2 linked regions of the Macaca mulatta genome follow. The protein of the gene in region 2 interacts with the protein of the main gene of each other region in a pairwise test. Links are inferred from orthologs where the notes say so. Each region holds a gene or a part of one and is shown on either strand. Other genes may lie near its edges.

Evidence for each region. The genes of interacting proteins can lie anywhere in the genome.
Region 1: the proteins of USP47 (region 2) and AP4M1 interact in binary tests that used the Homo sapiens proteins (3 or more experiments, as listed by UniProt). The two-hybrid records come from large-scale screens. The link is inferred for Macaca mulatta from reciprocal best matches to the Homo sapiens genes USP47 and AP4M1.

What each region holds. Positions count from the first base shown.
Region 1 is NC_133408.1:47,408,006-47,412,298, forward strand, and holds the start of AP4M1 (AP-4 complex subunit mu-1), read left to right. Parts: upstream 1-1,493; 5' UTR 1,494-1,531; coding exon 1,532-1,589; exon of another isoform or gene 1,590-1,696; coding exon 1,697-1,806; exon of another isoform or gene 1,807-2,203; intron 2,204-2,463; coding exon 2,464-2,570; intron 2,571-2,652; coding exon 2,653-2,749; intron 2,750-3,182; coding exon 3,183-3,293; intron 3,294-3,385; coding exon 3,386-3,466; intron 3,467-4,138; coding exon 4,139-4,201; intron 4,202-4,293. Other genes in the region: DNA replication licensing factor MCM7, read right to left, coding at 1,081-1,111. UniProt on the Homo sapiens protein: Component of the adaptor protein complex 4 (AP-4). Adaptor protein complexes are vesicle coat components involved both in vesicle formation and cargo selection. They control the vesicular transport of proteins in different trafficking pathways.
Region 2 is NC_133419.1:53,524,450-53,527,949, forward strand, and holds part of USP47 (ubiquitin carboxyl-terminal hydrolase 47), read right to left. Parts: intron 2,909-3,500; coding exon 2,804-2,908; intron 434-2,803; coding exon 226-433; intron 1-225. UniProt on the Homo sapiens protein: Ubiquitin-specific protease that specifically deubiquitinates monoubiquitinated DNA polymerase beta (POLB), stabilizing POLB thereby playing a role in base-excision repair (BER). Acts as a regulator of cell growth and genome integrity.

The DNA.
Region 1 (4,293 bases), on a different chromosome or scaffold from region 2:
TAATAATATGAACATTTAAATAAACTACCGAATTCTCCCCAAAGTGGGCATAACTCTTTTGCACAGTCTGTTTTAACCAGCGAAGAATAAAGAGCCCGGGGCAGTGCACAGGGCGATCCAACATCTATTCCCCAGGGGAATTCCTGTCCCTACTTTAGTTTAAAATCCTAGCGCCGTTCCCCATTGGCCTCCCACACTCCGGCCTCAAGGTTCTCAGCTTTCTTTCCACCCCCATGATCCCCTGCCTTCTTTGGGTCCCCCGAGCCCCTTATCTCACCGAGACCTCCGCCACCAGGCAGGTCCCGCACCCCACCACCGCTCCCGCCAGCGCTTCCGCTCTTAGTAAACAAAGAAGCACATGGGCCCGGATTCCAGCCGCTTCACAGCCCGGGATTCCTCCGCCCGAGGCGGGAGCCAGTTCAGCCATTGGCCAGCACGCCCAGGGCCACTGCGATCCCAGCCCACTGCCGCCTTTCCCGGGCCCGAGCGAAGCTCCCGGATCCCAGGCACGCCCCCCCGGGTCGCAGCTCTCTCCGAGGCCGCCACGCGGAAGGACACTGTTTACACGACACTCCCTCCACCCGCGTCGCGCCACTTCCGCCCGGCTCCACTTCCGCTCGGAGGGCGGCCTCAAACGGCCAATCCCGGCACGCAGCGGCCCCGGCTTGCCCGCCCCCGGGGCCTCCGCGCGCCTCGGGGAGGCGGCGGGAACCTGGGAATATCCAAAAGCGCGGAGGGAAGCGGGTCCGGGGTCCAGAGCCCTTAAAGAGTCTCCTGAGGTCCTCGGCGCGACTCTTCCCTGTGCAGCCCCCAGCCGGGTAGCGCCCCCCAAGCCCCCCAACCCCACGACTCTATAACACCTTTCCCAAGTGGGATTACTACCTTTTCTTCAACGTCGATGCCCCTCGCGCGCCTTCCAGGTCCCGTGGGCCTTAGCCAGGCCGCAACCCGACCCTGCCTCTGGCGTCGCGCGCCCCAGAACCCGCTGACCCCGGTCCTCGAAAACCCCAGCTCACATCAACAGGTGTTCCCCGGGAGGCTCCCCGCGCAGGACGCCCTCCCAGGCTTGTAGACCCGTACCTTTCTCTAGCGCGTAGTCCTTCAGTGCCATCGCTGCCGAGGCCCGTGCGGCAGCTCTTGGCGGGCTCAGAGGTCTTGCTTCTGGGGAAGCTGAGAACGTCCGGGCGGTGGACTGTGGCCGGCCAACCGAAATTGGCGCGAAACGTCGCCCCCCACGTGACCAGCGCCACTGCGTGCGGGCCAATCGGAAAAGCCGGCCCTTTCTCCCTCCCGCTAGCCGCAAGCCAATCGCCGGGCGGGCCTCGAATGAGTGACGGGGAGGCGGTGCGGGAGTCGGAAGGGAATCTCCGGGCGGGGTGGGGCGGGCGCCGGGTTTCCCGCGGTCCAAGCTGGCGCGGGCGGAGGAGAATCGCTCTTAAAGGGCCAGCGCACGCGCGTTCTTTTGTTCCGGGGCCTCAGGGCGGGGCAGGCCCAACTTTCGCCGTCTTCTTGTCTGCTCTCCAGGACGGCCATGATTTCCCAGTTCTTCATTCTGTCCTCCAAGGGGGACCCGCTCATCTACAAAGACTGTATCCTAGACCCTCGGGGCTGGGAAGGGGCGGAGGGACCGGGCGGGAGGGGCGCCCAGGGCCAGCCCGTGTCGCAGGATCCTTCACTGAGTCCTTCCACCCGCCAGTCCGCGGGGACAGTGGCGGCCGGGATGTGGCCGAGCTCTTCTACCGGAAGCTGACGGGACTGCCAGGAGACGAGTCCCCGGTTGTCATGGTAACCACTGGCGGGAGGCGGGTGAGGAGCTGGGCCCGGGCGGGCCGGGTGGGCGCCGTCTCCCTCCCAGGACTGGTTCCATGGTAGCTTCCACTTGGGGGTTGTATTTCTCCAAGTAAAACTAACAAGAGGCCCGGCGCGGTGGCTCACGCCTGTAATCCCAGCACTTTGGGAGGCCGAGGAGGGCGGATCACCTGAGGTCAGGAGTTCGAAACCATTCTGACCAACATGCTGAAACTCCGCATCTACTAAAAATACGAAAAAAAAATTAGCTGGGCGTGGTGCGGGCGCCTGTAATCCCATCTACTCGGGAAGCTGAGGCAGGAGAATCGCTTGAACCGAGGAGGCAGAGGTTGCAGTGAGCCGAGATCCGGACACCGCACCCAGCCTGGGTGACAGAGCGAGACTCCGTCTCGGGGTAATGGGGGTGGGGGAAAAAAAAAAACGTCCATTGGGCGCCAGCAACACACCAGGCCCAGCTCCCTGCGTGACTCCATTATCAGCAACTTGGGGTAGTTACTATAATTAACCCCGTTTCCACATGGGAAGCTGGGCTCAGGGATCTGTCATGTATCTCCCAAACTAGTAAGAGGCATCGGGATCCCAGCTCAGGTCTCCTGGGTTCTGATTACTCCACCTCCCTTTTCCTAACCCCTCTTCTCCCTGCCTGTGTTTCAGCATCATGATGGCCGTCATTTCATTCACATCAGACACAGCAGCCTGTATTTGGTGGTCACAACTTCAGAAAACGTTTCTCCCTTCAGCCTCCTAGAACTGCTCTCCAGGTGAGGAGGGTTGGGCTGGGCACCTGCTAGCTGGCAGGGTTCTCAGAGGAGGAGGAAATACACGCTCCAAGTGTTTCCTCAGGTTGGCCACTCTTCTGGGCGATTACTGTGGCTCCCTGGGCGAGGGGACCATCTCCCGCAATGTGGCTCTGGTCTACGAACTCCTGGATGAAGTGCTGGTGAGAATCAATGATCCCCTTCTGTGGCCCCCACCTAATTCCCCTGGAGATACATCTGCTCTTCTACTGTGGGATGCTGTGGTTAGGCCAAGTCTATTTTTTTTTTCCTTTTAGAGACGGTCTTGCTCTGTTGCCCAGGCTGGAGTGCAGTGGTGCAATTATAGCTCACTGCAGCCTGGAACTCCTGGGCTCAAGCTATTCTCCTGCCTCAGCCTCCTCCCCTGTGTCCAGCTCATTGTTTATTTTTTGTAGAGACGGGAGTCTCGCTCTGTTGCCCAGGCTGGTCTTGAACTCGTGGTCTCAAACCATTCTCCTATGTCTCGGCCTTCCAAAGACCTGGGAGTACAAGAGTGTGCCACCATGCCTGGCCCCACTCCCCCTTTTTACCCCTTCCCTCCACTGACCACTCGGACTGTCCTTCCTTTACCACTAGGACTATGGCTATGTACAGACCACATCCACAGAGATGCTGAGGAATTTCATCCAGACGGAAGCTGTGGTCAGCAAGCCCTTCAGCCTCTTTGACCTCAGCAGCGTTGGCTTGGTCAGCAGAGGGAAAGAGGAGGGTGAGGAAGGAGAAGAGGGGTTGGCTGGGGTTGTCAGACCTGATGATTGATTGCTTTGGATGCTTTACAGTTTGGGGCTGAGACACAACAGAGCAAAGTGGCTCCCAGCAGTGCAGCCAGCCGCCCTGTCCTGTCCAGTCGCTCTGACCAGGTGAGGGAGGAATCCATGGGGTCAGACCCTCTGGTTTTGCTCTGGGACCCCAGAGTCCAAGATCTTACGTTGGGGCGCAGTGGTTCATGCCTGTAATCCCAGCACTTTAGGAGGCCGAGGTGGGCGGATCTCCTGATGCCAGGAGTTCGAGAGCAGCCTGGCCAACATGGTAAAATCCAAAAATGCAAAAAAAAAAGAAAAAGGAAAAGATCGGCCAGGCGCGGTGGCTCAAGCCTGTAATCTCAGCACTTTGGGAGGCCGAGACAGGCGGATCACAAGGTCAGGAGATCGAGACCATCCTGGCTAACACGGTGAAACCCCATCTCTACTAAAAAATACAAAAAGCTAGCCGGGCGAGGTGGCGGGCGCCTGTAGTCCTAGCTACTCAGGAGGCTGAGGCAGGAGAATGGCGTAAACCCGGGAGGCGGAACTTGCAGTGAGCTGAGATCGGGCCACTGCACTCCAGCCCGGGCGACAGAGCGAGACTCCATCTCAAAAAAAAAAAAGATCTTGACACCTCTCCCACCTCCCCTAGATGTGGGTATCCCTTCCATCACCCATGTCCCCACCCTAGAGCTGTAGCTTTGACTGTCCTGTCCTTTCTCCCTGTCTGTCCATTTCAGAACATAGGCTATTCTGCTTCCAACCATCCAAACCCTCTCTCTTTCTTAGAGCCAAAAGAATGAAGTTTTTTTGGATGTGGTCGAGAGATTGTCTGTACTGATAGCATCTAATGTAAGTCTGAGCTCCCAAACCTGGAGCTGAGGACAAATGGGACTTGAGAAACATGGTGGGGTGGTTAAGACTCCCAGCAATGGCCACACAGT
Region 2 (3,500 bases):
GCTATTTTTTTGTTGTTTTTAAAATTATGCATACAACTCTTTGCAAGTAATCTAGAACTTAATTTCAAGCTGTTGCTGAGTACTTCTCAACCTGTCAAAATTATTCTACATTTTAAGACCATATGAAAAATTTAAATTATGTTCATTTCTACAATAAAAAAAAAAAAAACTTTCTCATGAACATTTTAAGTACAGTAAAACTAAAAATAGTGTAAAACTGCTCACCTCCAGGTTTATAAGACTGGAAAACCTGATCAGGCTTTCTCGTCTCCAGCAGCAAATCAAACATATATGTTGACTTGACGCCACCTAGTAGAAGCCCCATTGGTGTATCTTCTTCTCCTTCATATGACCGTTCTAGATAATCATGAAACTCATCATATTTAACAAGGCGACAGCAATCCAGGGGTATTACCTCTTCTAAATCCATCATCTAAAAGAAAATAATCCCCCAGAAAGAAAAAATATATATACATATATAAATACACAGTGTTCTAGTCTGTTGGGTAATAACACCACAATAGGCCCTAACAAAATCCACACATTTATGATTTGCATCAAAGACATCAAAGTTACAGGCACAACTTAAATGTTATTTTTAAATAATTATGTTTCATTATCCCTCAAATCATATAAAGCATGTACTAAATACATTTTTGTTTTTAAAAAGTAAACTTCATAAACTTTAGATGTAGAAACAAAATCAATGTATTATAACAATTGTTCGTAATCAACTAAGCTGGAAACACAGAAGAAAACAACCGAACAGCCAACTAGAATATGCATCTTTTGTTTTCTTAATCCAATCTGGAGTAGAATTGATAATTCATGTATCTAGTAACAATCTAAGTACAGGAGGACAGCATGTCTCATAAAGCCATCACAAAGGGTATGGCTTCTGTCTCTCAGGTGCCACCTCATTCCTCTCCAGATATCCCCTTTCAATATTAGCCTCCAGAATACTTACAGCTCATGGTATAGGAATTTCTATCATAAAATTTCCTTCTAGCTTATGTCACTAATAGATGACATACCCTGGTTGCAACAACTCTCTTGATAGGAAATAAGCCTCCTAGAGAAACATAGTAGGATTGCTTAGAAGTATTCAATGTTCATTTAAGGTTGTGATTACGATTTTCAAGAAGGACTTGTAAGGCTCAGTGTATCCCCATTGATCTCTACTCCTCCCCAACTCCCACCCCCAACAATGAAGCTCTAGTTTTGGCATATAAGATTGACTTATTTCTCTCTTCTGTTTGTTTCTTTTTATTTGCAAACTTTCACACTTCCTATTTTCAAGACTAATGCTTGCAGTCCACCATTATATTTAAAGAATTTTTACCAAAATGAGGCAAATCCAGAGCCATCCATACATCTTAATGTTTGTTCATTCATTTATCCATTCAACATACCCAACCATTTTTGACTTTTCTATATACCAGGGAAGAATACTAAAAATAAAATTATGAGCAAAACCAGAATGGTTTTTGCACTTGTATGTGCTTATAGTCTAGTGAGGGACAGTAATATTAATTAAAATAGTCAAACAATTAAATGTAAAATTTCAATACTGATAAGTGCTATGCAGGACCAGATGTATAATATAAATGATTCTCAAACTTGACTATGTCTAAGAATCACCTGATATATGTGTTAAAATGCCTATTCCCGGGCTCCAACAGAGAAATTCTGATTCATCTGCAGCAATTAGCATTTTTAATAAGAATGTGACTCTGGTGCAGATTGTGCTGGATCACACTTTGAGAAACAATGTCAGCTATCTTGTGTGTTATTTTTAGTTATTTTATTGGTTCCATTATAACTACACACAAAATGATGTAGTATGCAATTTTTTTCTCTAGGTAATGATGGTTTAATTTCAGTCATTCTGTTAATGCTTATATGGAAAGGGGAAAACTTTAATTTGTTAAGTATCATAAATGACATTTAGAATGATCTGGTGAAACAGCGTGACCCCATTTGCCTTTCAAACCTCATTAATAACTTTCCACTACTCTTAGAGAACAAAATGCAAACTTCTATTTCACAAAACCTCTAATCTCATTTTATGGTACTCTGTGCTCACTTAAAACAATCTAAACGTATGGCTCCTTTCTTCAGTTTCTTAAACGTGCCAAGCATCTCCTCACCTCAGCACTTTTGCATATGCTGTTCACTCTACTTAGAATATTCTTCCTTGAGCACGGGCCAGTGACCGAGTGGGTAATGCATCTGACTATGGACCAGTATATTCCTCCTCAACTTTTTGCATCACTGCTTCCCTTTCTCATGGTTAAAGTCTCAAAATAAATTTTCTCAATTTAATACTAATGTATTTACAGCATCTAAATAATAAAATAATTGCAAATTGTGATGTTTACATATGTTTTGTCTGTTCTTTCCAATGGATTGTAAACTCCATGAAGGCAGTGACCACGCCTTGTTCACTTTCGTATCTCTAACACCTCATGTTGTCTTATTCACTCTAATATCGCTAATGTTTCATACAGTAAACACTCAAGAAATGTATGTTAAATGAACAGAAAGAGCAAATAAACATTCTGTTTCTAATTTTAATTCTGGGATCTAGAAAGTTTAAATGGCTTCCAGAGAGAGAAAATTTTCAAAATCAACTGACTATGCTCCAAAGGAGAGGTATAAATATACTCAGTAAGAGATAAATTAACTGGTTACCAAGGTTACTGCCAGTGTTTATATAACTACTATCCATAATAAAAAATTGGGAAATTATGTTAATACTGTTGTATTAGTAAGTAAATGCCAATGATGCAGTTAAACATACCTTATAAGCCATTTCTACTGCTTCCTTTAATGTCTTATCCTTATGAACCTCCAATTTATTTTCCATCATTACTTGTTTTGTAGGATGCAAACAGAATAATTTTATCTAGAAAATGTAAAATATCATCATCAACTCTGCAGTTCAAGAGTCAAAGTTCAATTCTTCTGTAGACAGCATTTTTTCCTAATTGTCAAAGTACTCTAATTTTTTAAAAGAACATAATTGAGATCATTCTTTCTTCTATCCTTTCTCACTTAGTACTTGACACTGATTATGTCTCACACCATACAAAAATTCAAAAACATTACTTTTAACAACTGTATGTTTCCTTATAGGCATGTATCATGTTTATGTAATCATTCCCCTACTGATATACATTTGGGTTGTTTCCAATTTTTCCCTAATTTGGAAAATGCTATAATGAATATCCCTGTAATCAAAGTATTACAGTAATTATGATTATTTCATTAGATAATAATTCCATAAGAGAAATTATATTTTAAAATATGATTTTGCTTAAGGTTCTTGATAAATACTACTCAATTTCTATCCAATTTTTACTGATTTATTTTCTTTTAGTAGGATAAGAGAATGTGTCTACCTCAACTGTGGCTTCACCAGCACTGAGCACCGTCACTACGTGTTTCTGGGTTTTTACACATCAAATCAAATCAAATCAAATTTTACCTTTATAGTA